4 linked regions of the Notamacropus eugenii genome follow. The protein of the gene in region 1 interacts with the protein of each later gene in a pairwise test. Links are inferred from orthologs where the notes say so. Each region holds a gene or a part of one and is shown on either strand. Other genes may lie near its edges. The genes, in order: ABI2, WIPF1, STAM2 and CCDC102B.

Evidence for each region.
Region 2: the proteins of ABI2 (region 1) and WIPF1 interact in binary tests that used the Homo sapiens proteins (3 or more experiments, as listed by UniProt). The link is inferred for Notamacropus eugenii from reciprocal best matches to the Homo sapiens genes ABI2 and WIPF1.
Region 3: the proteins of ABI2 (region 1) and STAM2 interact in binary tests that used the Homo sapiens proteins (3 or more experiments, as listed by UniProt). The link is inferred for Notamacropus eugenii from reciprocal best matches to the Homo sapiens genes ABI2 and STAM2.
Region 4: the proteins of ABI2 (region 1) and CCDC102B interact in binary tests that used the Homo sapiens proteins (3 or more experiments, as listed by UniProt). The link is inferred for Notamacropus eugenii from reciprocal best matches to the Homo sapiens genes ABI2 and CCDC102B.

The regions. Positions count from the first base shown.
Region 1 is NC_092877.1:299,597,894-299,604,916, reverse strand, and holds the start of ABI2 (abl interactor 2), read right to left. Parts: upstream 3,018-7,023; 5' UTR 2,695-3,017; coding exon 2,578-2,694; intron 1-2,577. UniProt on the Homo sapiens protein: Regulator of actin cytoskeleton dynamics underlying cell motility and adhesion. Functions as a component of the WAVE complex, which activates actin nucleating machinery Arp2/3 to drive lamellipodia formation.
Region 2 is NC_092876.1:236,944,817-236,952,255, forward strand, and holds the start of WIPF1 (WAS/WASL-interacting protein family member 1), read right to left. Parts: upstream 3,001-7,439; 5' UTR 1,654-3,000; intron 1-1,653. UniProt on the Homo sapiens protein: Plays a role in the reorganization of the actin cytoskeleton. Contributes with NCK1 and GRB2 in the recruitment and activation of WASL.
Region 3 is NC_092876.1:209,401,292-209,408,877, forward strand, and holds the start of STAM2 (signal transducing adapter molecule 2), read right to left. Parts: upstream 3,010-7,586; 5' UTR 2,919-3,009; coding exon 2,879-2,918; intron 2,686-2,878; exon of another isoform or gene 2,579-2,685; intron 2,485-2,578; exon of another isoform or gene 2,298-2,484; intron 1-2,297.
Region 4 is NC_092875.1:218,775,612-218,783,623, forward strand, and holds the start of CCDC102B (coiled-coil domain-containing protein 102B), read right to left. Parts: upstream 3,008-8,012; 5' UTR 2,896-3,007; intron 1-2,895. UniProt on the Homo sapiens protein: During interphase, forms fibers at the proximal ends of centrioles to maintain centrosome cohesion. During mitosis, dissociates from the centrosome following phosphorylation to allow centrosome separation. Contributes to CROCC/rootletin filament formation.

The sequences.
Region 1 (7,023 bases):
AACTCACAGGAAAACCTCCTCTGGACCCTCCTAGCTTGAGAGTGATTATCAATAGTAACGGCTGCTGTTTCCCACCCAGGCTGATGTCTTTCTTTTTCTTGACCTCATTAAAGGGGCCATGCCCTGGCTACTTCTTAAACAGACCTATTCAATGAATGAGCGTTGCCTCCCCCTAAGTGAGTGCCGGCAAAGACCTTGGCCTAAACAGCCCAAGGTCTCCCAGTGCATCCTGGGTCATCTCCAGTCATCCTGAGGAATATCAGGTCACTGGATTCAGATGGCTCTTGAGGAGAAGTGAGGCTGATGACCTGCACAGCCCTCCCTCAAAACAAAGTGAAGTGCAAGTCATGTCATCATTTCTCTGATGGCATGGTCTTCTTCAGCAACGAAGGACAAACACAATTGTAGAATTGTAGAAGGAAGGAGAGGGGGAGGCAGACAGGAAAGAAGGAGGTGAGTTACCCAGCTAGCTGGGTCCCCATTCAGCCAGCAGCATCTACTACTGTGAGTAGATGTGAACATATGTTTAATATGAATGTATGTGTAGAGCCTTTGTTTGAAATTTGATCACAAATCTACCAACTATTTCTGGTGTCCCAGTGTCAGGATAACAATTTAATATTTTGTAGCTACACTGGTCTTTTTTCAATGTCTTTAGCTAGACGAGTACAAAATTTACCGTACAGCTTTCACTGGCAACAGAATGAAGAGAGAAGGAAGATTTCTTGGAGCATCAATGACTCATTTAACCTCTAAGCTTTATTATTCCATATAAGTTTACCTTTCACCGACAACTGTAATTCATAAAGAAATGAAACTTTTTACTCTAGAGATCTTCAATAAAGAGAAGTGGAGGTTGGAGGCCTGACCCAAAAGGAAAAAAAGTCATTCTCTTCTTTCCCTCTTCTCAACCTTTATTTTCACTTTATAATAAACTCCTAATCACAAGAACATTTTTTCCTTTTTTACCAATCCTGCAACCTATCCATCTATTCAGTGATCCCTCGGAAAATGCTGATGATTTCCTTATTTTCAATAGCATGTTACCAACTCCTCCAAAGTGGGTACCAATAGTCCTGTCTACCTAAGGCTATCCCTCCAATCCACCAAATCTCTTCATAACCACTATCAGTTGAAATTTCTTCTGTCCCACAATTCTTTCCTATTGAAAAAAAAGACTACATAGTAGTGTTTCCCAGTAATGTTTCCAATTCTGACAAGACTTTTCTTCCAACTATCTCTGATCACGAGAAAAATCTTTTGGTTTAAATCTAATTCAGTTGAGTAGAAATGTTCCCTATAAAACACTGTGAAAAGTCATTACATATGCTAATAGACTAGTTAAAGTTCACATCTACAATTCTTTCCTATCCTTACAATCACATATAACATCCAAAAATCGGTGAACTTATAAATTTTACCCTGAACTTCTCTTTATTAGTTTTATATTGTACCTGAAGGTTAAGGGCAAATGCGAACAAAGGGAATGGAAAAAACACAGGGAGGAAACATTTTCCACTACCACCTTTATCCCTGGAGAACATAAAGAAAAACAGAAGACCTATAACAAACTATACGGTAAGCGAAGGATATTCAGTTCAGGAATTCTATATTTAACAAATTTTTCCAAACAAACCATTCCTTAAGGGGGGGAAAGGGCTTTTTAAAAGGTATCTGTGCTTTCACATAAACCCAAGCATTATCACAGAAGTATCCGGATTCCCTGTCTCCCACCATCCAGTCAGTCCCCAGTTGGAAAACTGAAAGAAATGATGCCATGAGGTTCCTTCCTTTCATAATAATGTGTGTCAAGTATGTACAGTGTTCCTTCCCAAAGGGAAAAAATCATCATTTAATTTAACTGAAGAGAAGATTCTTTATAGTGCGGCTTCCCCTTTTCCCTTTTGAGAAAAAAAATGACAACTTTCATCAAGAAACTAGTGTTTTCCCATCGTTTCCTTGCAAGTCCTAAGAAGAAAAGAGAAGAGAAGAGAAGAAAGCCCTTCGGAGAACCCCCGAGCCCAGCGAACGGGGTCAGGCACCCCGCGGAGCAGCGACCTCCACCCCCAGCGCCGACCTACAGCGCAGGCAGGGGAGCAGGGCGCGGGGCTCCCAGAGCCACTGACACGAATGAGAACGAGAAAGAAGCCCCCACCCACCGAGGAGATGGGGGGGAGCGCTGCCCACGCCGCTCAGCCTCCCCCGCCATCCCACGCGCCGGGCGGGGGGTCAGGCGCGGCTCGGGAAGCGCTGCCGAGCCTCAGCCTCCTGACCCCCGAGCCACCCCCCCCACCCAGGACAAGCCCCGGGAGGCAGAGCCCCACAGCCGCCGTCACAGCCCAAGACTAGGGGGCGGAGGGGGGAGGGGAAGGGGAGGGTGGGGGAGGGGGAGCAGAGAGGAGAACTGAGGGGGAAGGAGCGGGGGAGGAGAATGGACGGGGGGGAGGGGCAGGGATCCCTAAGGCCCCCGAGCTCGCTCCCGCCGGGCAGCTTCGGCCCCCGGGAGCACTGCGGGTGCCCCCCCGCCCCCCGAGCGCCCCTCCCCCAGCCCGCCGCGGCCCGGGGGATGCCGACCACCTGGATGTAGTTGTTCTCGCAGTAGTCGGCCACTCGCTCCAGGTTAGTATAACTATCGAACAGGGCCCGGCGGCCCCCCGGGATTTCCTCCTCCAGCAGCATCTGCAGCTCCGCCATCTTCACATCCTCCTCCTCCTCCTCCTCCTCACACCGAACTGCGGCGGCGGCGGCGGCGGCACCAGGGAAACCCAAGACCGGAGAGGAGGAGCAGCGCCGGCGGCGGCGGCCACTCGCGGAAAGCGAGAATCTCCCCCCTGCTGCGCGCGAGGCGGGGAGGGGGAGCGAACGAGGGAGGGGGAGGGGCCGGGGGCGGGGCGCGCGCGCGGCCTCAGGCCGGTCACGGGGGCGCGAGGGAGCGGGGGCGCGAGAGAGCGGAGGCGCGCGCTCCGGAGCCCTCCGCTCCCGGCTCCCGACCCCAGGGCCTGAAAGCCTGATTCCCAGCCCCCGCCCCCTTCCCTCCACTTCCGGCGTCTCCTAGCAACGGAAGGAGGCGGGAGCCTGGGATGCGCTCGGGTCTTCGGGTCGTAGGGTTAACCCTTGGCGGGTGCCGAAGGTCGAGGGAGGGGAGCGCTCCCTCCCCGCCCCCCCCGCACCCCGACCCCCCCAGCCTCCGAAAGCCGAGCGCAGGCTCTCCACCCCCTCCCCCGGCGCCCCGGGCCTTCCCGTGGAAGCCTCAGGGCCCACTTCCCACTGGCGCTTCCCAAGCCGAGGATCACCCCGTCCACTTTATCGAGGTGAAGACTGAGGCCCACCAGAACGGTGACTTGCCCAGATCGGGCCCACCCCAACCCCCCAAATCCTCGGGATCCAGATCCCGTGCCAGGAGCCCTGCCCAGGCCTTCCCCACTACCCTGGGAGGAAGGGGCTGCTGTCCCTGTTTACGGATGAGGAGACTGAGGCAGGCAGCACGCAGCTCGGGTCTGGCTCCCCCGGCCGGACAGCCGCCCCGGTTCCGGTTAGAGAAGACTCCCCGAGTGTCCCCTTTCCTCCCTCCGCGTCTTGGCTTCTCTCACGGCCGGATCTCCGGCCCTCCGGAGCCTTCTCCTCTCCGCTGCCCGCTGTCCACGTTCCCGGCTCGGCGCTCGGTGAGTCGTCGCCCCCCTTGCCCTGAGCTTGCCTGGGGGTCCGTCACTTCTCTGCCGCCTCCCGCCGGTTCTCCTCAGGGAGTTAGCGCTGAAAACTTGCAGAAACAACTTTGCTGGTTCAGAACTTCCTTCCTCCAAGAGCGGCTGGGCAGAAGTCCCTCGGAAAGTCCAGAACTGCCCCCAAAACGCAGGGCAGACGAGCTGCCGTTGGTGAGAGTGGCCGTAGAATCCGCCTGACATGCTCCAGGAACGACCACTTGAACTGATTCTAAAAGGGCAAAAAATAGAATTGGTCACAATGTATCTATTACATTTTCTTTCCCTCCTTCCCAAATCCTGACTCTTTGCCCTCACCTAATTAAGTCTGTATCCTCTTGGCACCATGGAGAACCAAAGCTGAGGAGGCTAAATCCCTAACATGCAAGTTTACAGTTTAGATCAAGTCTCTTTTCTTCCTCTTTGTATTGGTACAATTCTTGCTTTTAATCTGCCAAGATCTTACAGTTGTCCCCAATCATAACTTCCTTTTCTCTGGCTGACTGTTTAAATCCTCATGCGATTATGCTTCCCAAAAGCAACCACCAACTTTAATACCTTTTCACCATAAAGTTTTTTCTGAAACAAATCCTGATTTGAGAAGTGTACCATTCTTGGGAAGTTCATTGGTGGCCATGTACACAGTCAGGATCAAAGAAGGGAACCTTGGAAGCTATCTGTTCTAGCTTCATTTTACAAATGGGGAAAATGAGGCCTGAGAGTTAGTTCCACGTCCAAGGTCACGCACATAGCACATGGCAGCAGAGCTAGCGATCAAACTTGTTTTCTTCCTTCCACACACAGCATACATGAAACTAAGCGTGATATAGGCAATGACCTTTCTGTCTGGGGATAGTTTTATTGCAGTGCCTTTCTCTATTCCCAGTGCTTTGCATGAGAGACTTGGAGAACTGGGCAGCCATAGGTGAACTTTTGTTAGTTTGCTGGAAAAGAAGCATCTAATGTATGCTGACTCGATAAATTTAGCAATCAGAAACTAAACAGAATGACGTGGACTTTCTAATCCTAAGTCATAGCAAGGCCTCTGACAGAGAACAAAGATTTAGACCCCTGATAACTAGAAAATACAGTTTTCTAAAACAGAGATAAAACTTAAAACATACACTAGCTAGCAAGAATGGCTCTGGCTCTCTGTTCGAAAGAATTTAACCTGGAGCATGGAATCTTCTTGTGGAGAGGAAGTATATATTCCAACCAAGGCTTAGAGAAACAGGAGTTTTCTTCAAATGGGAAGAAAAACCACTGAAGGCTTTGTTTTGGTTTTGATGTTTCCCGTCTGATGACTGAATGTGTTAGGGAGTTAGCCTTTCAAAAAAAGCTGTATCTCTTTCTGAGGTAGCACCTCAGCTGAGGACTTTAGGGAAAGCTAGGGAAGGGCTCCAACTTCTTGCCCAGCGGCCACAAGCCTGGCAGTAACCATCAGAAAAGTGGAGGCCACACAAGGCTAGCAGGAGTAGACATCTGACAGAGACTAAATGCCACACTCAAATACCAGTCAGAGACAACACACTTGGCAGAGACCGCAGAAATGTGAGACCAGCAAGGAGCAGTAAAGCCCTTCTGCTGTGCAGTGCCAGTATGAAGCCTTTCCTTGGCCACATACATTCCCTTTATATATGCATCTTGACATGTGTGCCATACGTATATCAATTCTTACCATGGATAGTGAGTATATTTGGGAGAGAGTGTATCCCAGGCTTATGGAGGAAGCATACTCCTTTTTAATGTAATTTCATTAAGTGCCTTTGCTGGGAACTAATTATGTCCTCAGAAGAAAAAGTGGGAGGTTATAAGCTATGGTTTTGAGTGGATACTTAGGTAGGCTCTTCTAGATGACTGTCCATGAGATTTGGGAGGGGATGCTCCCAGTTTACCATATGTTATATATATCATATAGCATGTGATATGAATAACATATTAAAGTTAATCTGAATCAGACTCTAGGAATTCAAATGAGAAGGTTCTGATTTACCTTGGACACCTTTACTCCTCCCTTTCTTAATCACATTCCATGGTTCATGGAAAACATTCATTCCAGGATTTTCTGAAGATAAAATTTCAGTTCGTTGTAATCCACAAAAGGTTAAAAAAAAAAAAAAAGAAATTGGTTCAGTGAGAAAAAGTACTAGATTTGGAGTCAGAGATCCTGGCCTCAAATTTCAGCTCTACCATTTACTATTTGTGTGACTTAAGTCATTTTACCTGCTGGTCTCAGTTTCCTTATCTGTAAAATCTAGGCATTGTATTCAATAGTCACTAAATCCCCTACAAACTCTAAATCTGTGATTCAGGAAAGGAATAGTGAAATTTTTGGACTATTTTTATGTTTAAGTAATTACAAGTTTATCTAGTATAATATAGAATTCAGACTTTTGTGATAGGGCAACTACTGTTAATTAAAAGAAAAAAAATTTCGCTAACGTGAACAATAGACTTTCATGGGTAATATAATGCTTACGTAAACAAACAAGTAAATTAAAAATAAATCACATCAAGGACATTTTATATGAGACTAAACTTATTTAGATCGAAACAGTGGATCAAAAAAGATAAGAAACACTTAAGTTTGATCCGATCTTTCAGTCTGTATCCTATTACACTCAGCCTATCTAATTTCAAATGATGACTAGTAATTAGCCCCCTAAGTTGAGCTAAGGGAATGGTTCATCAACCTAATTTGTAACAGCTGGAGATCTCTGGTGTCCAGAAAAGAGCTTTTAACTCCCAGATTGTTAGAGAATCCAAACATCCACCGTTATGCCTCTGTTGCCGAAAAGAAGAAAAAAAGGAAAGAAAAGAAAGCGATAACAACTGCAAATTCCAAAAAGGTCTAGTAGTTATCATTAAGAGAAAAGGAAATATAATTATGCTACACATAGTTCCTCCACTAATTAACAGTACTGTTTAAGTTGCTGAAGGAAACTGAAATTTGTTCATATCTACAGATGAGTCCCTATGTAATTGTATCAGATGAACAGGTAAAATAGGAGCCATTTGTTATGCCCCTAAAGAGTAACAATTATAATGTTAGCAAACATTTCATGAGAACCTTATGAGGAGTGAGTCTAGAGAGAACCATTCATAGGAATGAGGACTTGAGAGAAGCTGAAAAGATGGTTTCACCTGCCTTAGCTGAACATGAGCTGGAAAAGACTTGTGTCTTCAGAAGGTGGACATATCTTTTATTGGATATTTCTTTCTTTATGAAACCATTGTAACCTTTATCTTATGATGAGGATCCTTGTGAAGAGACTATTTGTTATTCTAAAAACTAAATGGTACAAAATGAGACTGTTTTCTAATA
Region 2 (7,439 bases), on another chromosome or scaffold:
GGTCATTTTCGAACTTCTACAATGACATTCTTCACACCTTTCACATCCTACTGGTCACCACTTCAGCCACCCTTCACCTTTATTTACCCATTATTTATCTGAGATTCACAATAACAGACGTGATTATCTCCATTTTAGAGATAAAGAGACTGAGGCTCAGATAGGTTAAAGGACTGGTCCATGATTGCACAGTTACTAAGTCCCAGAAGCAAGATTTGAACACAGGTCTTCCTGCTGCCAAGTCCAGCACTCTATCCACTATTTCCCTCTTCCTCTCGGGTATAAGACTAAGAGGGACAAAAATGAAACAAGAGAGGGGTGCCCAGATCTAGCCTGCTCTGACCAACACCAGTTGTCTAGGGCTTGCCTTCAAACAGACCCACCCTTTGTTAAACTAAGAAGTTTCCAAGTCTAATGCCAGTTCTGCATTTGGACCACCAGGCAGAATTCCTGCCTGGGTCAGCTTGTTTCCTTTTCCTGGTGAGAGCACTGACAATTAACTTCTTTAAATCTTTGGAAGATATTATTAGAAAAAAGCAAAAGAAAGAGTAAGGAACTGGAGAAACAAATGATTGCAGAGAAGTCTGGGAAGAGTATATCCTATACTTTTGAAAAGTGCTGGGTAGAATTGGCAGTGATTTTAAGGTCAGTGACCATATGCACACACACATGCATACACGGATACCAGCAGATGCAAAGAGGGAACGTTTGGAGGAGACATTCAAGTAGGCAAGAGTCCAATTTAAGGAAGGAACTGAGGAAGGTGATGTGTTAGTGGACTATACAACGGAAAGTAACTGTTTCATTTTAAAAAAAGCTGATGGGGATGCTGTACAAGTCTCTTTTAGCTTTTCTCCTCTTTTTGGTGCAGGTAGTGTGCAAATTAGCTCTGGACTCGTTATGCCTCCGCCCAGAGCAGCTCGAGTACTGGATTTTTGCAATCTCGCCCTATAGTCAAGCGGAGCCCAGGAAGGGTTGTCAGTTTGCTTTGTCCCGGAGCGCAAGGGCAGCACCACAGTCACCTTCTTCCTAAGATCTCCAAGTACCTCTTGCCCTGCGGTCCCCGGACTGCCCCATCCCGGCCAGAGGGGAGGAATCAAGAAGGCGAGGCCATCCGAGAAAGCGCCTTGCCGGCAGCCAAAGGAAAAAGTTAGCCACTTTGTGAAAGCTGGATGAAGGAGCTGGGAACACATCTGGGAGAGCAGGGCCTGGGAGGGGACTGATGTTATTCAACGAAACCCACTCTTGGAGTAAATAAGGACTGTTTCGACATCTCTCTCTTTTTTTCTTTTCTCCTTACTTCCCACGTCACTATCTCCTTCTTCTCCCCCCTCCCACTGATCCCCAAAGTAGTGTTTCCAAATCCCCCTCCCAGTCCGAGGGAAGGAGCAGGGCATTCACTTCTGCAGATGTGCCTTGCAGACCAGAGAGAGGGTCTCCTAGCCAGATGCTGCACTCATAACCTCCAGGCTGCGAGGGCTCAGCCCGACCCCGAAAGCCCCGCTTGCTGACAGGCGCGCACAAATATTCATCCAACTCCCCCTAATCCCCCACCTCGCCCCACCTTCTGAGCTGGAGCCTGGTTCTGAAAGTGGGGGCGGGGGCGGGGGGAGAGAAGATAAGCCAGGACGAGGAAGAAAACGCGTCTCTTACCGGGTGTGCTCCGCTCCTAGAACCCTCCCCGCGGGCTCCCTCCCGGGATGAGGGCGGCGGTCGCAGCTGCAGGCGGCGGCTCCCGCTTGTTCCCCAGCAGCTGCAGCGCACGGGGCATTTTTCTCTGGAAAACTTCTCCCCGGCGGGCAGGAAAAGCTCTCTGCGCTCGGAGGCTACGACCATCCGGGAACTTCGCGGTGATGTAAACCCTCCCACTCCAAACATTACCTCCCCCACCCCCCTGCCCGCCCCTCTACCGGCCCTGCCACATGTGGACTTAGCAGGCCGCTGCTGCCGCCGCTGCTACAGCTGCCACTGTGGACGCTGGAGACCGCTTCTTTCCTGTCTTCAGTCAACAAACTGTTGAGCGCCTGCCGTGTGCGAGGCACGGAGGTTAAAAAGGCGAAGACGTCGCTGTCCGTCTCCTCCAGGAATGTATGGTCCCGTAGGGGGATGGCACATGTATTCCCATAACTAGTATTTATGGCATAGGAGACTGGGCACTGGGGCTTGGAGTCCGGCAGACTTGGGTTCACGTACCAGCTGTGTGACCCTGGGAAGTCATTTAACCTCTCTTTGCTCTGTTTTCTCATCAGTAAATGAGGCGGTCGGATTTGATCTCCAAGGTCCCTTCCAGTTCTAAATCTACGACCCCACGTTAAAATGTGATGAAAGGATTTACAGAGAGAAGAAAAACAGAAGGGTGTGAAGAACCTGGGGACCTTGGAATCTTAGTTGGGTGGAGAGAGGAGGGAACAGGGAAAGGTTCTCGAAGGGGGTTGAAGGAAGAGGATTTCCAGAGAGAAGAGTCATAGTTTGAAATATCACAGGATTTGGAGACAGGAAATCTGAGTTTGAATCTGTGTTCCATCACTTTCTGCTTGCATCACCTTGGGCAAGTCACTTAACAATGACGGGTGGAGAGACACTGTCTCAGTTTCCTTTTTTCTAAAATGAAGGAATGAACTGTATGATCTTTAAATTTCCTTCTACCTCTGACAGGGAATGTGGGGTGGTGGAGGTGAGAGATGCTAGGAAGAGATTCGAAATAGCTATTAGTTCACTTTAACTGGAATAGAGATAGGCATGAAGGGTTGTGTGACGTAATAAATCCGGAAAGATGGGTTAGAGCCAGTTTTGAATGCAGGATAGGGGCCTTGAACTTTATCTCCTTATATCAATATCCCGCAGGGGCCTTCTTCAGAAGCAGCTCATTTGGGTATGGATTGGGGGAACAGGAATGTAAAAGCTCCATGTGCCTCTTTGTCTAGGTGAAGAGTTGTGCACACTGAATCATAATCTGAGTTGTCCTAAAATTTTTTTTCTGAAAAACTAAATTGTATCTTTTAAAAACTTATCCAAAAGAAATATAGATGTCTCCACATCCAGAGAAAGAACTTGGGGGTCTGAATACAGATGAAAGCATAATATTTGTTCTCCTTTTCTTTTGTTGTTTCATTTTGTTTCTTCTTTCTCATAGTTCCTTCCATTGGTTCTCATTCTTCTTTGTATCATGATTAATATGAAAATGTTTAATATGAATGTATAAGTGGAGCTTATATCACCCCATCTTGGGGCGGGGGTGAGGGGGAAAGGATAGGGAAGAAAATTCAAAACTCAAAATCTTATGGAAGTGAATGTTGAAAACTAAAAATAAATTAATTATATATAAAAAAGTAAAAAGAAATATAGATGTCTTTCAAAGTGGAAAAAAATGAGAAAAATAATTTGTTTTGATGTAGCATTTGATAATAGTCCTAATGAATTATTAGAAATTATTATCCTTTTACAAATAAGGAAACTGACTTTCACAGGGGTTATGTGGCTTGTCCAAGGGTCCCACAGTCAGTAAGTCCATGGCTGGGATCTGAAACAAGGTACCTCCTGACTCTAAGTCCTGAGCAGTGGAAAATGATAAGATGTTTTGGAGCAAAGGGAGTAACATAATCAGACCTATGCCTTAGGAAGATTATTTTGCTACCTCAGTGTAGGATTAATTGGACAAGGGTGAGACTGGAATGAGGTAGCTCAGGTGTATAAAATAGTATAGTCAAAAGGTGATAAAAGTCTGAACTAAGATGGTAATGTGGGAAGTAGAAAGAAGGGAACAGATGAGACATTTTGAGAGGGCAGAATGAACAGCATTTGACAATTGGATATGGGAGGTGAGGGAAAGGGAAGAATGAAATATAGTTGATTTGAATGAACTTGGATGACTTGAGAAGATAATGGTATCATTAATAGAAACACAAAAATAAGGAGGAGGGATAAGTTGTTGTGGGTTTTTTTTTCCTCTGGGAAGCTTGAGTTCCATTTTGGATATGTTGAGTATGAGGTGTAGGAAGGTCATACAGGTAATATGGCAATATGCTTGAAGGTAGATGTTGGAGCTGGAGATTTAGATTTGATTATTATCTTAGTGGGAATGTTTGAAACCAGGAAGTAGGTGAGATCATGAAGGTCACTTTCTAGAAATTTAGCACTGAAAAGGAGGATAGAGAAGAGGAGGGAGTCATAGATAGAACCTTAGGGGATAACCACACTGAAGTGGCTATTATAGGATGAAGAAAAAAACTAGTGAAGAAGCCAGAGGAGTAGTCAGAAAGGTAGGAGGAGAACCAGGAAAGTACATTGTAATGGAAGGCAAAGGAAAAGAAAGCAAAAAAAATGGAGATGCTTAAGAATTGTTTTTTAAGCAAGAGTTGATAAAAGGTTTTGGTTTAGGTCAATTGGAATATCATTCTTGGGTTCACAGAGAGTAGTTTCCCTGGTGAGGTAGGGATGAAAGCTGTATTTCAAGGGATTATTGAGAGATGCACAGGTGGTAAGGAAGTGGAAAAAGTGCTTGGAAAAAAAGTTTAGCATCAAAAGAGAAAAAAGAGATGAAAGATGAAAGAGAATTGCAAGGTAATGGCAGAGACAAGGATGTGATCAAGAGTTTAGGTGGAGTAAACCTGGACAGTGAAGAAAGAAGTCTACCCCCTTCACTCAGGAGGGAAAGAGAAAAGGATGAATGAAGACAGAAAAAGATTTTTCCATGTGAAGGAGAGATGAGAGATTTCATGTAGGATAGCTTCAGTCTGGGGAAGGCAAGGTCATTTGTTGAGAGAGAAGATGGGTAAAGGTTAGGAGTTTGAGAAATTTACTGGGCAGTCCATCAGAAATAAATTTAAATATTATTATGCAGTAGTGAGGGCCCAGTTAGATTCAATAGCATGAATATTATGCATATTAATAGGTTTCCTTTAGCAGCTCTCAAGTAATAATCAGAAATAAAAGGGGAAGCTGCAAATAAGGTGATGAGGTGATCCAAGGTTGAAACAACAGAATTATGTTATTAGATGATTTAAGCATGGGTCACGATGCCTCGTTTTTGAAATGACTCACTATTATCACTAATCGTCAAGACTGATAAGGGACATCTTAGACCTAGAATAGGAATGGACTTTAGGGAGATGAAACTACAATGGGGGTAGTGATAGGAGGATATAATTGACCTCAGGGTGAAGGCAAAGAAGAGAGTCAAGAAACGGAGGTGGAAGTATAGAAAGATAGACAGATTGTCACCTAAAAAGAGAATTTCAGAGCTCTGGATCTTGAAGGCAGATGATGTGAGGCCTGAGATAGGAGATAGAGATAGAGTAAAATGGAGATTATGGGAATTAGAGTGAAAAACTGAGACATCAATTGAACTGAATTGAATTCAATAAATTTATGCTAAACATTTACTATGTTTGGAACACAATTATTGGTGGAGATGAATACCTTGCGCTTTGGGAAGGATGGGCAGAATTGGAGAGAGTTAAGAGAACTCCAGCCTTCTCCAGTCCCCCTGTGGGGACTCTCCAAGTGAGAGTCTTTTTAGAGCTTCTATTTGACTTCGGGGAGAGAGAGAGAGAGAGAGAGAGAGAGAGGAGATGGAGAAGATGGAAGAAGCCAACCTTACTCCAGGTTGCAAAAGGAAAAGCCTCTGGGAAGATATGAGAGGTGCTTGTGGTCTCCATGTCCCTATTTTCAATTTGCTACTCTCGAGACTTTGGGGAATTTCCCTTTGGGGGAGATCTGGGACATTTTGATGGTTGAACTGTAATCTGGCTCCTAAGGGGAGAGCTCCTTCATTCTGTATTGTCTTGTATATATTCTCCTTTGATTTGTTTTGCTTCTGATTTGGATGTATGAGTTTTTTTGTTATTTGCTATGTGTGTTCATTATGCAATGGTATTGTGTGGGAAAAGGGTCAAGCCTTGGCTATAGAACTTGAGGTTCTTCTTTCTACCCAAATGACAAAGAGAACAGAAGTTAAATGGAACCTGAACGTATCCCCTATGTGAATAATATTTAAGGAAGTTGAATAGATATACTTCTGGTCCCATACAGTCTTTCTCTGAGAAGAGTATAGTGGCCTAACTTTCTGCTTTCTCTCCTGGCAGGAATGAAAATCTCCTTTGGAGAAGGGTGGGGGTGGGGAGGGGAAATAGGCTAGAGATGTCTATTCTGCCTCCTTTCAAGTCATGTATGGGTCCCCACCTTATACTTGTGAGGCCCATTCTCTCTACTGCTCTTCATCAATGGCTCCTCAGTTGTTTCATACATGTACTAGTATTCCTCTTCATTAACAAATTAGTGTTTAACCTTTATTTTACTAAACACGTGTATTTTAGAGAAAGAATGTTAGATTATTTGGGCTAAAGGAGAAGAATCAAAGATGTAAACATGCCCTACCCTCCACTCAAACTATCATACTATAGCTTTACTCTCACAGTCAACTTACTATAAACAGCTGTCTACAATTGTTGCCTCCTCTTTCCCACATCCCACTCACTTCTCAGTCCCTTGTAGTCTAGTTTCCACTCTTACCATTTGATCAAAACTATTCTCTCTCAGATCACCAGTGGCCTCTTTATTACTAAATTCATTGACTTTTTTTTTCAGTTCCCATCCTTCTTGACCTTTCTGGGGTATTTGACAGGATCGACCACCTTCTCCTTCTGGACACTCTCTCTTTCCTGGGTGCTGATGATACTCTTTTCTCTTAGTTATCCTCCTATTTATCTGATTGCCTATTCTCAACCTCCTTTACATCCATGAATATGATTATGTATATTAAATAATATGCTAAAAATTAAATAATAAGAGGAGGAGATGATCCAAGGTTGGGAATTAGCAGGTCAAGGAACAGCAACTGTATGTTATTAGATGATTTAGACATGAGTCATGATGCCTCCTTTTTGAAATGGCTCACTATCATCACTAATCCTCATGACTGATAAGGGACTACAGGATCTTAGACCTACGACCTTGGGCAAGTCACTTAACCCCAACTGCCTCATCCTGGGTCATCTCCAGTCATCCTGATGAATATCTGGTCACTGGATTCAGATGGCTCTGGAGGAGAAGTGAGGCTGGAGACCTGCACCGCCCTTCCTCACTCAAAACACAGTGAAGTGCAAGTCATGTCATCATTTCTCTGATAGCATGGTCTTCTTGGGCAATGAAGGACAAACACACAAAAAGTAGGAAACAAAAATATATTAAATATTCATTATAATCAAGTTGGATTTACAGTAGGAATACAATGACGGCTCAATATTAGGAAAACAACATAGTAACTTATTAACAATAAAAACAATTTTATAATATGTTTATACCAACACATGAATGTTTTTGATAAACTAGCACATGTATTATATTAAAAACACAATCATATCTTTATAGTTATATAATTAATGGCCAGAATATATGATCCCACAAATCTTCTAATTTTGAGCCTTCATTGGATTCCTAGT
Region 3 (7,586 bases), on another chromosome or scaffold:
TAAAAATCAGTTAGGTACTAATAAAAATGTAGAGGACAAGATAACCACAAAAACAAATCTTTTTCTATGCTTGTAAGGACACACAGAACTTCATGTATTTATCTTACTAAACACTGATCCTACTCTCCAGGTACAGAAGATTTCACACAGGGCTCTAAGAAGATAACACTGCCTCCTTCCTTTTAGACTGATGCCATCCATGGAAATCAACTTCATATCCTCATCTCCATTCCTAGATAATACCAGCTTACATTATAATTTTAACATTTTCAAATTGCTTTAGATAAGAAATATGCAATATTAGTAATTATTTCCCCCTTTTTTTGAATTAAAGCATTTGTGATAGGGGTGGGGAACCTGTGGCCTTGAAGCCACATATGGTCCTTGGGTGTGGCCTTTTGACTGAGTCCAAGTTTTACAGAACAAATTCTTTTATTAAAGGGCCACACTTAAGGACCTAGAGGGCCACAACCTAGCAGCCCTGACCTGGGCCTGAGTCTTGTATGCTACCTGATACATGTCAGCTTCTCTGATTGGAGGGTGGGGCCATGAACTCCTGACCCCCATTTAAGGAAGTAGCTCAGCTCAGATCATCTCATTTCTCACCAGGTTGCATTTCTCAAGGACTTCTCTGACTTTTCCAACATGACCCCAAAGTTGGGTACTTTCCCACTCTCTCTCCCTGCTTTTCAGGTTCTTTTTTGTGTGCAGTCTCCCCCCAAAGGGCTGTAAGCTCCTTGAGGACAGACTCTTGTTTTTGTATTCCCAGCTTTTAGTAGCGTCTGGCACACAGAAAGCATTAGTAAATTGGTGACTGAAAAAACTAACAAGAAACCTTTTGCTAGATCTCATTTCCTCAAACTAAGCTCTATAGCAATCACTATCTCCCAGGTCCCTCATTGCCTGAGCTTCTTTACAACCTCTTACCTCAAACTTCAATCCCCAACATTCTACTGAAACAATTCTCTACTAAGTCACCAAGAAAGCCTATGGATTGTGTAATATTTCACAACTCTTCCCCTCCTTGAAATCTGATTCTCCTCTAACTTTCCAGTCTTGTAACATTACTGAACTCAGAAGCCTTCTAATCCAATTCCTTACTTTTATTGATAAGGAAAAAAAAAGGCCCAGAGATGTTAATGACATGCCCATGGGCACACAGATGGCACAGAGGTGAGACTAGAACCTAGATTCTCTGATACCATCTCATTCTACTTCACTTCATAGATCCTAAGGGCAGACAAATTACTCATCTCTCTCGTCCTGCCCTCTCCTCTCATTTTTCAAATATTGTAGATTTTCTTCCCCTTGTTCAGAAATTCCTCCTACCACAATTCCACCTGAGAAATTATTCTCAGTCTTTAAAGTCCACCAAAGGTGTCCCCATTTCTATGAAGTGATCTTTCTCAGATTTCTTAGTATCTCAACCTGCTTTACCACATTCTATTCTGATTCACTTTGTGTACCTATTTCCCTTGAAAGTTCCTTGAGGGCAGGGGATGTGCTGCTTTTCCATTTCTGCTGTCACAAGTGCTGTCACAGTGCTTTGCACGTAGGATCAGAGATCAGAACTGGAAGAGGCCACCTCCGGCTTTACAGATGAAGAAAGTAAAGCTCAGAAAGAATAAGGAACTTTCCCAGAGAACTAGAAAGAAAGAGTGACTTGCCCAAAGTCACAAAGTAGTAAGCCCCAGACTCCATATTTGGGGTCCTCTGACTAAATCTGGCTTTCCTTTCATTACACCCGTAAGGCGGGCTTAATTATTAATTAATAACTAATTAATAAGAGGGGCTGATTGAGGTCAGGAAATCTGTTGCAACCACAAACCAGCTGGATGACACCGGATGAGTCACTGAACCTCTACACCCCTCTTACTCATTTGCAACATCCTACCTATGTCACAGGATTGTTGCAATGGCTGAGAACAGATAACTTGAAAGAGCCGCAAAATAAACTCACAAGCAGCGTAAACGTTCACGACTCTGACGAGCTATAAACAATTATTTGGTTTTCAAAGAAGAAAATCTTAATTACTAAAACAAATACATAATTATGAAATTCTACGCGGCTCAGGCATGCTTTCAGTCACTTTGGGGGATATTCTATTATGTAGTTTTTAGTCATCCAATCAACCAGCATTTATTAAGCTCCTACTACATGCCACTGTGATAAGCGGCAGGGACACAAAGAAAGTAAAGAACAACAAATCAAGCTCTGCCTTCGAGAGACGACGTGCAAACTTCGTATGAACGAGATCCAGTACAGAGGATGAATTTCGGATACCAAAGACACGTACACTGAGGAGATCCTGAATGCGAGATGTTACAGGAGAGGTTTGAAGGAAGCCGGGGCAGAGATGAGGAGAGAGCATCCCAGTCATCGGGGGACTGGGAGAGCAAGTGTCTCGTGTCAGGAATTCCTCAAGGTCCAGATAAATACTTCATGTTTTTTTTGGCTGTTCCACGAATATGTAAGAACAGTCTAGCTCCAGTTCCCCCCCCCACCCCCCAGATGCATTCTATTAAAACCCACACTCCGGAGAAGACTGAAGGTCTCCAGACCCGACGGACCCCCTACCCTGGGACGGTCAGGGGTCTGCTCCTTCGTCGCCTCTCCACGATATTCTAGAGACAACGTGGTTCTCGCTGCTGTGGACCCGGGTCAGGGCACAGGGAAAGGCAGCAGAGGAGCTTCCACTCCACGCCCGAGGGGGCCAGGCTGGCCCCCCAGGGGTTGTCTAGGATAGTGCCCCACCCCCAGGGAGAGGAAGGGCAGCCAAGAAGCGGCCCAAAGAGACGCCGCCGCCGCCCCTGCTCACCCCGGCCGCGTCTCCGGGGGAACAGCCCTTGTGGCCCACGGCCTGGCCCGGCAACTCACCAACATCCTGCTCAAAAGGATTAGGCGTAAACAAAGGCATCTTGCCGCAACCCGGTCCGCTCCAGGTGAGGCGCGATAAGGGCGGCAGTGGCGGCGGCGACAATTCCTAACCCCTCTCCTCGACCCAGCGGCCGCCGCTTCCTGGACGGTCCTCCGGCCCAGCCTCAGCACTTCCGCAAATGCAGCTGCCCCTGCTCGTGCCTGAGTCCAAGGGGCCGAGACCTCCTCCCGAGCCTCCTGAGCTATGCCTTCCCTTGGCTATACTCAGAGAGGCTGTCAGCGTTCTTCTCCGCTTCCTTTTCCCTAAGCAGGCCCAAAGGAGGGCAACTACCTGAACTCCAGTGTCACGCGGCCTTCAGGCGTTAGCTCCAACCACCTTCCGATCTCGAGGACCCCTTCCGGAATAGGGACCTTCGAGGACCGGAAGTTGTGACAGGAGCCTGGAAGCTGAGCGTCAGGTTGGCTAGAGTCCGGCACAAAGGCCGATGGGTGGCAGCAGGGGGCGCCCGTGCCCAGGCTTTTCCACAAGGGTCCTGCGCCTTCCCGGCAACCTTCCAGGGAAGCAGCAGTCCTTAAGCGCATAAAACAACACAGCCCAGCATTTCATTATTACTCAGCCTCCTCCGTAGGCCCTGGGTTCTCTGGAAATGGGGGTGATCTCCAGTCGTGGTTTTCCCGGCGTGATGGATGTAGTGGGAAGAGCTGTGGACTAATGAGACCTAGGTTCAAATCATGGTGTTAACATTTGACTCACTGTGTGATATGTTAATATTTTGAAGTCTCCGGTTCTTCCCCCGTGAAATAATGGAATACCACTTAATTTGCAGGGTCGAGAGAAAAGCGATAGGTAGGTGTACCCGGCTGGTTTGGGATCGAACTTCTCCAGGCTAGAGGTGTATCTTCCAGGACTTGCCGAGAAGGCTTGTGGGAAATGTAGTCCAGGACTGTTTGTCTGGGCGCTCCGCACGCCCTGAGCGGGGAGGTTCCGCCGGCTGCGGCAGGTTTTGAGGGGGAGTGCTGATTGTTCTGGTATTTAAAGGGAGAAGAAGGAACAAACGCCGAGCAGGGGATTTCGGTGGCAGTCCGTAAAGAGAAAGGCGCTCCAGCAGGCATGTTGCAGGGCGAGTCTAGACACTGGGAAGGTGACCTCGAGGGGCAGCGAAGGTGATGGGGCCCCAAGCCCTGGAGCTGCCTCCGCTTTCAGCGGCCGGGATGGGACCGTCGGAGGCCGCTGACCAATGAATTCATGATTAAAGCTTTCTTATGAAGCCACGCGGGCACTGGGCATGCAGAGAAAAGCAAAGGAGCTTTTGGGGGAGACACGGAATACTGGGGGAGACCACATGCACAGTTACGTACAAACAAGCTAGATGCAGGATCAATCGGAATCACTGAAAGAAGACGTTGGTATTAAGGAACACCGGGGAAGACTTCTTATAAAAGGTGGGATTTTAGCTGAGACTTGAAGGAAAAAGGACAGAAAGGAGGAGGGAGGGGCCCGAGGAACCACCAGGGACATGTGGGAGATGGAGAACTGTGTCAGGAGCAGCAGCATTTTACGTTTGATCCAGGAGGTCATAGTGAACCTCGGGGTTGTTAGGGGTCTGCTGAGACCTGCGCTTGAGGAAGATCCCTAGACTTAGGCAGGGAGACCACCCAGAAGGTTATTGCCATAATCTAGCTGTGGCAGTGAAGTGAGGGAAAAGGGAAGAGGGCATGTAGAAGAAGCTAGAATCAGCAGGGGTTGGTGACAGTCTGGATGGAGAATGAGGAGTTGAAAATGACACCTTCTCACCTTGTAGTGAGAATGGTGGTACCCTTGACAGTAAAGAGAAAAATGTGGGAAGGTTTGGGAAAAGAAGAGAATGGGTTCCTTTGGGACATGTCGACTCTAAGATGGCTGTGGGACCTCCAGTTCAAGATGTTCAATGGCCAATCAAGAAATGTAAGAACAGAGGTTAGAAAGGTTAGGTCTGAAGAAAGAGAGAGAATCATCTATGTAGAGATAATATTTGAATCCATGGAAGCTGATTAGATTTGCAAGAGAAATAGTATAAAGGAAGGAAATGACCCAGGACAGAGACCTGGGTAATATCCGCAGTTAGTGGCCATGATCTGGATAAAGATCCAGCAAAGGAAACTAAGAGGAAGCAGTCAGATTGGTAAGAAGAAACTCAGGGAAGTGAAGTATGTTTTCCTCAGAAGCCAGTAGGCTCTCCCATTGAATTCAAAGGACCTTGCCCACTCTTGAATGAGAGATAGAGCAGACTAAGGAAAAATCATGACCACTAAGGAGGAAACGGGAAAAAATGGTGCAGCATACATTTGGAAGATGGGGAGCTAGCTAAAGTGAAATTTTTTCTGATTATAGCACCAATGGGATATTCACAGCACCTACAGTGGCCATGAATATCCAGCACAATTCTGAATCACAAAATACAACAGAATCTCCGCATGGAAGACAGAACCAAAACATTTATTTAGACCACCAGAAAGTCCAATTCATCATAGTAAGAAAAATCTACACACAATAACAATGCAGAGGACAATACCATCCCCAAGCCTCCCCCCTGCTAGGTTTCCCACAAACTAGTTCCTTTAAACAAATCATGAACAAGCTCTCTCACTCACACTAGCCAGGTGCCTGCTTACCTCCATCCTTCCTGGCTCTGACTGCTCTGACCAAATTTTCTCTTAGCTCTACTCTAGCTCTGCCTCTTCCTTTCCCACTCTTTCCACTTTACCCCTTCCTGTTCCATGTGACTTGACTCATGTGACTGAGGCTTCCATGTGACTTAAGCAGGTCACATGGGCCTATTAATGGATGGGAAAGATCTTCTCATTACGAAGCAAAATTACGTTAACAATAAGCAAAAATGTATTATCGATACACTGGTTTACCTCTGATACTAACCACCCTAGTTCTGCACAAATTCTAATATTTGTAAACCTTAAAATCCTATACACTCCTAAGATCTGTGTTTGTCCTTCGTTTTTGAAGAAGATCATGACATCAGAGAAGTGATGACATAACTTGCACTTGACTTTGCTTTGAGTGAAGGAGGGCTATGTAAGGTCACCAGTCTCACTTCTCTTCCTGAGCCATCTGGATCCAGTGATCAAATATTCATCAGGATGACTGGAGATGACCCAGGATATAATGGGAGACCTTGGCCTTTTTAGGCTTGCCTTTTCAGGTGCTCATTTAGAGAGAGGTAACACCCATTGAGTGAATAGGCCTCTTTAAGAAGTAGTCAGGGAATGGCCTTTTTAATGAACAAAAGAAAAAATAACTAAATCATACGGGCTGTCATGGCATGGCCTCTAGGAACCCAGGATCACCTCCACAATTTGAGAAGGCATCAGGTAGAACCTTTCTGGAACTATAAAAATTTCAAAGGAAGGAAGGATTTATTAAGCACCCTCTGTGTGCTAGGCACCATGCCATGTGGTCTACAAATATCTCATCTGATCCTCTCAACAATACTAGGAGATAGGTGCTATTGACATATAGCTATTGTTATTACATAGCTATTTTTATATAACTTTTGTCATTCTCAGATGCCTACCTGTTCCACATTCAACTCTTGCCTGGTGTACCTTACTATACATATCAATAACTGTACCCTTAGGTTGGCACAGGGCACATTTCATTTTTCCAAAACTACTTCACACATACTAAAGATTGAATTGGAGGACAACCTCCAAAGACCATGAGTAGAATGGGCTAATAGCAGAGATTCTTAACATTTTTTATGTTAAGTACTCTTTGATAGTTCAGTGAAACCTCTAGATCCCCTCTTAGAATGATGTTTTTAAATAACTGAAGGAAATAGTGAATGTTTTTTAATTTTTTAAAATTAACTCATCTATTTTTAGTTTTCACCAGACACTTCCACAAGATTTTTTGAGTTCCAAATTTTCTCCCCATCTCTTCCCTCCACCCACTGCAAGACAGCATACATTTCAATTAGCCCCCCAATCTGCCCTCCTTTCTATCACACCCCTCCCTTCTTTTATCCCCATCTCCTCTATTTTCTTGTAGGACAAGATAGATTTCTATACCCCATTGCCTGAATATCTTATTTCCCAGTTGCATGTAAAAACTTTAACATTCATTTTTAAAACTGTTGCAGCTTCTCTCCCTCCCTCCCCACCCATCCCCACGGAGAAGGCAAGCAATTCAATATAGGTTATCCATGTGTAGTTATGCAAAACACTTCTATAACAGTCATATTGTGAAAGACTAACTATATTTCCCTCCATTCTATCCTGCCTCCTGTTTATTTTTTATCTCTTTTGGCCCTATCCCTCCTCAAAAGCGTTTACTTCTAATTACTCCCTCCTTCCATTTTTCCTCCCTTCTATCATCTCACCTACCTCCTGCTTATCCCCTTCCCCCCTACTTTCCTGTAGTGTAAGATAGATTTTTCATACAAAATTGAGTGTGCATGTTATTCCCTCCTTAAGTCAAATGTGATGAGAGTTAGGTTCATTCTTTCCCTCTCACCTCCCCCCTCTTCCTCTCCATTGCAAAAGCTTCTGATGAGTCCATAGGCTTTAATGGATTGCCAAAGGGACCCATTACACACATACACACACACACACGCATCCATACATACATATACAAAGGTTGTAAGCTCCTGTTACAGACTGTGAAGTTCCCATGGTAATGGAGTAAGAAAGCAAAAAAACAATTTATACAGTA
Region 4 (8,012 bases), on another chromosome or scaffold:
ATATGGAAAAATCACAAATAGTAAAAAGAATGCAAGTTAAAATTACTATGAGGTTATACCTTCTTGGCTGCAATGACAAAAAAAGAAAAATGAAAATTATTAGGGAGGATATGAGAGAACAAGCAGACTAATCTACTTTTGGCAGCTTTTTGCCCTGACCATTTTAGAAAATAATTTGGAATTATACCCACAAAGCCACTAAATTATGTATACCTTTGACTGAATGATTTCACTACTAGGCATATATCCCAAAGACATAAAAGAAAGGGATCAAAGAGCAAGATATGAAAGCAAATTCAGAAGCTATCTAATCCAACTCCCTCATTTTATAGATGAGGGAACTAACACCCAGAAAAGTGTAATGATTTGCCCAAGGAAATACTAGCAGTAAGATTTGAACCCAGATCCTCTGATTTGGAACCATTGTACCATGCTGCAGGATCCACATATATAAAAAAATATTCAGAGTAGCCCTTTTTTGTAGCAAAGAACTGAAAATAAATGATTTGTCCATTCAATGGAAAATGGCCATACAAATGATGGTATCTGGATTAATGGAGTACTATTGGGCTATAAGAAATAATGAGAAGGATGGATTCAGAAAAATCTGGGAAGATATGCCTCTCCTAATACAGTGAAGTAAACAGAGCCAAGAAAATAATTGATATAAAGAGGCTAACACTGGAGGAAAGATAATTTTGAAAGACATAAGAATCCGGGTTAATGTCATGTCCAACCACAGCCTCAGAAGACCAGTGTTGAAATATTCTTCCCAGCTCTTGAAGGAATGGTTATGGACTAGAGATATAAGAATGTGACATAAATTTTCAGCTATGACCAATGGGTACATTTGTTTTATTTGACCACACTAACTTGTTAAAGGCAGAGGTTGTTTTTGGGAAGTGGAGAAAAATTTGAATCTCTCCTCTCCTGACCACTCCTGCCCCCCAAAAAAGAGGGGATATCAATGAATCCTTAAAGAGAAGGCACAGAGAAACGAATATGATTACGTTTTAGTTTCATATATAGTTCTTTTTTATTGTTCTCTGTAAAAGTATGCATATTTCTTGAGTACAGAATGACAAAAAAAAAAATTTTAAGGTATTGAAAGGGAGAAAAGACTGAAAGATTACAGAAGCAACTAATGTGAATATGAAAAACAAAATCACCACTGTTCAGAAGAAGTTAAATGAGTAACAGAAGATATAGTTTGTCCCCAGTGGAATCAGGATATAAACCCATATCTATCTTTGTCCTATTTTGGAAACTAGTGAAAAATTAAATGTGGAATTCAATTGACATAAGTGACATCTACATGGAAAATCCCATGCTCTTGTATAAAGAGTAGATCCATGCTTGCATGACATAATTGGGGGAAATGCCACTATTGTCTTTTGGGGCTCTAAAAACAATATATAAACATCATAAAGAATATTTAATAGCATCTTCATCTCAGGACTGAATCCAACCAATATTTATAGAGAAAGTAAAAATATAATCAATGAAATGGTTTGCTATTACACAGCAGGATAATCTCTAGAGATGTTTGGAAATAAACAATTTTAAGAGAATGGTGTACATTCTTCCCCTGATTTTCAAAATAAATATTTTTACTTTCTAATCAACAATATAAAAGCATGGGAAAACTGCATTGGTACTATATTAAAGGATATTCTCTTAAATTTAATGTTGTCATTGAAAATGTATGGGTAAGAATAATAGTATAGGAATAATTTTTTTCCAAACTAAGATCTTCTGTTGGCTGTAAAAGTATGGTGATTTACTTACGTGAAAAAAAAAAAAAAAACTTTTTTCTACTATGTTCTAAAGCAACTATCCTGGGATCAACAATCCTTTGATCTAATCCTTTGAATTCTGATATGTTCGTCAAAATTTAACTAGAAATTGAAATGCCCTGTCCCCAAAGAAAGATTATAAAATCTGATATGTGAGCTGATTTAGAGAGGTGAAAAAATCAGAATTGGTGTGAGAGTGGCTAGAGAGATAAAATAGAAGGATTAAGTTTTTGAAAGCCATCTGTTACTTACATTTATCCAGTAGCTAATCATGATTTTAGGAATTTCCTTTCTATTTGCCAAACCTACTTCACATTCACAGGTAATCAAAATTATGATCTTTTTTTTAAAGTAACAGAAAAAGTAAATCTCTCAAGTTGTCAAAGAAAGAATTTTTGTTGTTGTTGTCGAGACATAGCATTACTTCTCTGTGTAGTTATATTTTCCATTCCCTTAGTATGTCTATGTATTAACCTTTATTCTCTGTCCCTCTCTCTTCTACAATGGAATCCTGTATTTTCCATAAGGAAATTCAGATCACTTGTGGTTGCTCTGAAATGTAACATATCTCTTTTGATCACAGGACTTCCTGTCAACAATTACAGGAATTCAACAAAAGCTCTAGACATTTCCAAAGGACTTCAAGTGCATGAAGCATAAATCTATAGTTTTGATAAGCAATGTTACCTTTTTTACTTCTTATAGCATAAAATAAAGCCAACATTTCTGGTATTTCATTTTCATCTTTTACTACCAAAGTCTGTAAAGTAATATCTTCAGTTACTATCTATATTTGCATGCTAAAACCTTACCTGGTTATGATAACTATACAAATATTTTAAACACAGGAAATATATATGCTGTCAAGATAAACAGTACTAATAGTGGAAAAATGAAAAAAGAATGGGAAAAATACATCCAACTTAGCAAGAAACTCCAAATACGTCTGTTTCTTCCGTTTCACAGACCCACAGTAGTCTTGCTCTGTGTCTTATAACCAACTACTTTTTCCCTTGCTCAGAGAACAACTCATGCTCTACCCCAGCAGGAAAGTATAAAAATTAAATAGAAAAACCACAAGGTTATTAAACACTCTTACCCTCTGGACTTGCTGGGCTGCTCTTGCTTCTCAGTGTTACAGACACATGTGTAAACAACTGAATTTCCTGCATCCTTTCCTCATCTGTACAGCTCTGGGGTCTTGGCCAACAGGATTATATCCAGCATTAAGGCCACTCCACACTAACTCAGAAAGGATTCCCATTGGTTGTGAAGCTTTATCAAAGCCAATACCACAACAGACTCTTTGGATTTCAACTTAGCTAACCAAAATAAATTCTTTTTCTACTGTCCCCAAACTAAACGTGAGTTTCCTAAGCTTTCCTTCCCTACCTTTTCAAACTATATACTATGAACATATCAGGAAATCTAAACATAGTGTCTCATTAGCAAGTTTTCTACTTATTTTCATGTCATTATATTCAGCCAGTCACTATTTTAAATGCAACAAAAATGCCAAAAGAAAAACTACTAATGAACAAATCTGCAAAGGCAAGGCATAAACATCCTTTGTTATAATTAACAATAGAAAAATATCTGCAGTATTCAGTATATCACTGTAACTTGTTTTGTAAAAGAAACGCAGTAAATTTAACGAAATGTTCTGGTAAATAAATCACAGTTCAAGATCTCTGTCAGAACACTTGATCTCAGTCAGACTGATAAGAATTCTGAGTTTCCAAGTCAAGGACCCCCCAGTGAGAGAATTTTGGCTCTGAATCTCAGTGGTTTATCTGAGTGACTTTCCATTGACATGACTCAGCTGTCAAGATCCACTGAGGGAGTGGTGATGTTTTATCCCTTTAGGGATGCAAGTAAAAAAAATATTTCAAAGGTTAACTCTAACATTTCAAATTGTCCAGAGGAAAACTAAATGACAAAAACATCATATAACAGGAAAAAAAAATTTTCCTTCAATTATTTGTATTTTCTCTCCCTTTGGTTTAGAGGATTAATCTTTGTTATTAAATAATGTGATGTTATCTGCATCCTCTGGTGGCAGTAATTCAAATCAGATATGTACCCAATAGGCTACTAATTATACTGTCCTGGTCATATGAAAAGTTGAGAAAGAAACAGCTACAAGATTCCCATTGTATGGAAAGCCAGAATTAGATCCTACTGGATGTATCACAGACTCCACAACAAAGACAACTCACAATTGCTCTAAGAACAAAAAGAAACACCTATTTTGCTTTTCAAATCCTTATCATCTTTCCCTTCTGCTTTTTTTTCTAGCAGCAGAACAGGTTTTTTGACTCAAGTTCTTCTGAGAGCTCTGTCAATTTTTGTTTGGCTCTATGCACCCTATCTTCCAGATCAATGTTTTGCTTATATGGAGATCATACTTTCTTTTCATTTCAATAATAGCATTACTTTAATATTATTGCTTTTTGCTTGTCTTCTAGATTGTCCTTCACTATCATGTAGTTACATTCCCAATCAGTTATCCTCTCTAGTTTCTGTGTTGATATGTGTCACTGTGAATTCAAATTTTTCTATTTTGTTAATTATCTCTGCTGTATAGGACATAAATTCTTTTACAATTTTTATTTCTCTTTTAAACCACTCATGGACATGTGGGGAGGGTATATAATTGAGCTCTGCTTCAAGTCTATTGGTTGACTTGTACAACTCTGCTACTAGAGGGTGGGTGGGGAACATATGCTAACTGAAATTTGTTAGCGTCTAGAACTTCTTAGATTTAATTCACTGAATTTTTACCTCATTTGAGTTCTTGGTGTTCTCTCTTACTCATAATTCCTATTTCTGAAAGGTTAGAAAGATTATGAGAATCAGAGATTGCGTCTGCTCCTCCATTTTGCTAATCATATGACCTTGAAGTCGATCTGTCTATATCATTCTCATTCTGTCTCTGTCTCTGTTTCTGTCTTTGCGTGCGCTCTCTCTCTCCCTCCCTTCCTCTCTCCCTCCCTCTTTCTCTCTCTCTCTCTCTCTGTCTCTCTCTCTCTCTCTCTCTCTCTCTCTCTCTCTCTCTCTCTCTCTCTCTCTCTCTCTCTCTCTCTCTCAAAACAGGACCAGATTTAGGTGATCTAATTTTAAATCCCATTCCACCATTACATTGTTCCATAGCCTTGAGCAAATCATATATTCACCTAAGGCTCAGTTTCCTGATCTATAAAATGGAGTTAATTATATTTACAGAACCTTCTGTTCAATGAAGTTTTTGTAAGGAAAGCATATATTGTAAATTGTGAAATGCTACATAAATACTCACTGCAATTGTAGGTATTGAAAAGATGTGTAATGAATGAATGAATGAATTCAAAATGAATCATAGAATCATTAAGCCCACAAAACATTTCACACCTAATTTTTTAAAAAGTTATTTCTATTGATGACTTTTGTCTTTAGCTTCAAATCTATTTCTAAATATATTACTCACTCTCCCCACCCAGTAAACCACATATTATAATAAACACTTAAAAAAGCAAAGAAAAGTAGTTTAACCAAAGAAACCAATATATCAACAAAGTTTAGCATTATATGAAACACTGCACATTCATGTTCCTCCACCTCTCCAAGCATTTATTGAGTGATTTTTGTGCGAAGCACAATCTATGAGCTCCCACTTTTTTGCTAATTCTTCCTTTCTAAAAGAATGCTGCTGTGGTTTGCTTTTTTTTTTTTTTTTTTTTTTTTTGGTATATAAATGATCTATCTTCATACATCAATTTCCCTGGTATATGCTTTTTATACTGTCATAGCATATATGGGCCAAAGCACATATGGACACATTAATCACTTTTTAGTATAGTTCCTGATAGGATTCCAGAAAGATAACATCAATTAACAATTTTACTTTAGTGTGCCTGTATTTTTTCAGACCCTCTATCTTTTGTAATCTTCTCCAGTTTGCCAGCTATGTTTAATTCTTAAAATTCTTTGATTTTTATTCCTATCATTATTACTGATTTGTTAGTCTTTTTTATTTGTTTAATATTTTATTTTTTCCAATGCATGTAGAAATCATTTTTGACATTTTTTAAAATTTTGAGTTCCAGATGCTTTCACATTCTTCCTTCCTCCCCTCCAATCCGTCTGAGACAACAAACAATTTGATATGGGTTATACATGTCCAGTCATGAAAAACATATTCTCATATTAGTCATGTTGTAAAAGAAAACATAAACTCAAAAAAAAAAAAGAAAACACAATTTAAATATGCTTTGATATAGTACGTTTCAATCCACATTCAGACTCCATCGGTTCTTTCTTTGGAGGTGGATAGCATTTTCTATCACAAGTCTAGCAGAATTTTCTTGGATCTTTGTAATGCTGAGAGTAGCTAAATCTTTTACAACTATTGACACAATATTACTGTTGCTGTGTACAATGTTCTCCTGATTTTGCTCACTTCATTGTGCATGAAAATCTTTCCAGGTTTTTTTAAAGGATCCTGCTCATTATTTCTTATATGACAATAGTATTCCTAGTGCAACCGTATACTACAACTTATTCAGTCATTCCCCAATTGATGGGTTTCACCTCAATTTCCAATTCTTTGTCACTATAAAAAGAGCAACAATATTTTTATACACATAGGTCCTTTTACTTTTCATAAAAGTCTCTTTTAGGTACAGATCTAGTTGTAGTATTGATGGATCAAAGAATATGGGCAGTTTAATAGCAATTTGCAAATAGTTTCAAATTGCTCTCCAAAAATGGTTGGATCAATTTACAACTCCACTAACACTAATTACTGCCCTCATTTTCCCATATCATCTCAAACATTTATAATTTTCCTTCTCTATCATATTAGCCAATCTGATAGGTGTAAGGTGGTACCTCAGAGTTGTTTTAATTTGCATTTCTCTAATCAATAGTGATTTAGAATATCTTTTCACTTGACATAGATAGCTTTGATTTCTTCAACTAAAAGTCACCTCATCATATTCTTTGACCATTTATCAATTTGTGAATGACTTGTATTCTTATAAATTTGGCTAAGTTCTCTTTACATTTGAGAAATGAGATCTTTATCAGAGAAACTTGTTATATATAATTTTTTCCATTTTCTGATTTCCTTTTAATCATCTGCATTAGTTTTTGTTTGTACAAAACCTTTTTAATTTAGTGTAATCAAAATTATCCATTTTATAAACCATAATGTTCTCTATTTCTTGTTTGGTCACAAATTCTGCTCTTATCCATAAATCTGAGAGGTAAGGATTTGTTAAATTCTTTCAATTAGCTGTTAATAATTTGAAATTCTTTTCAAAATCTTTTGTTGCAACCTTTAATGAATTATTTAATTGAGGAATTGTTCTAAGATATTTTTATGTTGACTATTAGATCTAGTAGATCCATACTAGAAAATAGTTGATGAAAAAAAATTTAATGCACAGTTTCCCTTATTAGACTAAATACATATTTTTCTCTACTAGTTCTTACTGAAACTTGACTTTCCCCTGATGACACAGCCTCCCTGACTATTCTTTCCAGTATTGGCTGTACTTTCATTCATTCTCTCTGGTTCATGGTTGAAGCAGTGGAGTTGGAATTCTCCTTGCTCCCTATTGTCATTGCAGGTTCTCTCCCTTCCTTCTTCACTCAGGAACTTCTCTACCTTTGAGGTTCATGCTATTCATATCTACTATCCAATCAAAATCCTAGTAGCTGTTATCTATAAACCTAAATGTTGCTCACCTACTTTCTTTAATGAGTTCTATAAGTGGCTTGTAATTATTCTCTCTTTCTCATCTTCAGCACTCATACTGGAGAATTTCAACATGCACATTCATTCTCCCTTAGATACCTCACAATTCAGTTATCAACCTGCTCATTCTCATGAGTTTTTTCTCTCAGCCACTCACAAAGATAGTCATGCCACTGATCTTGCCATCACACACAAATGTACCACCTCAATGTTCAGGAATTCTAAAATCCCCTTAGTTTATCATAACCTATTGATTTTTCAGCCCTCCCTGTGCCTTTCCTTATATAACCCTAATTTTCATTTTCACCATGACCTCTAATCCCTGGACCCCTCAATTCTGTCCAAGGCCATCTTGCATATACTAGCATTCTCTCCTCTTCTTCCCCTATTCACTCCTTTATGAAGCAATTCAAATCAACATTAATGTCTTCTCTTAAATATTTAACCCCCTTATTATATCACCCACTACACCCAGC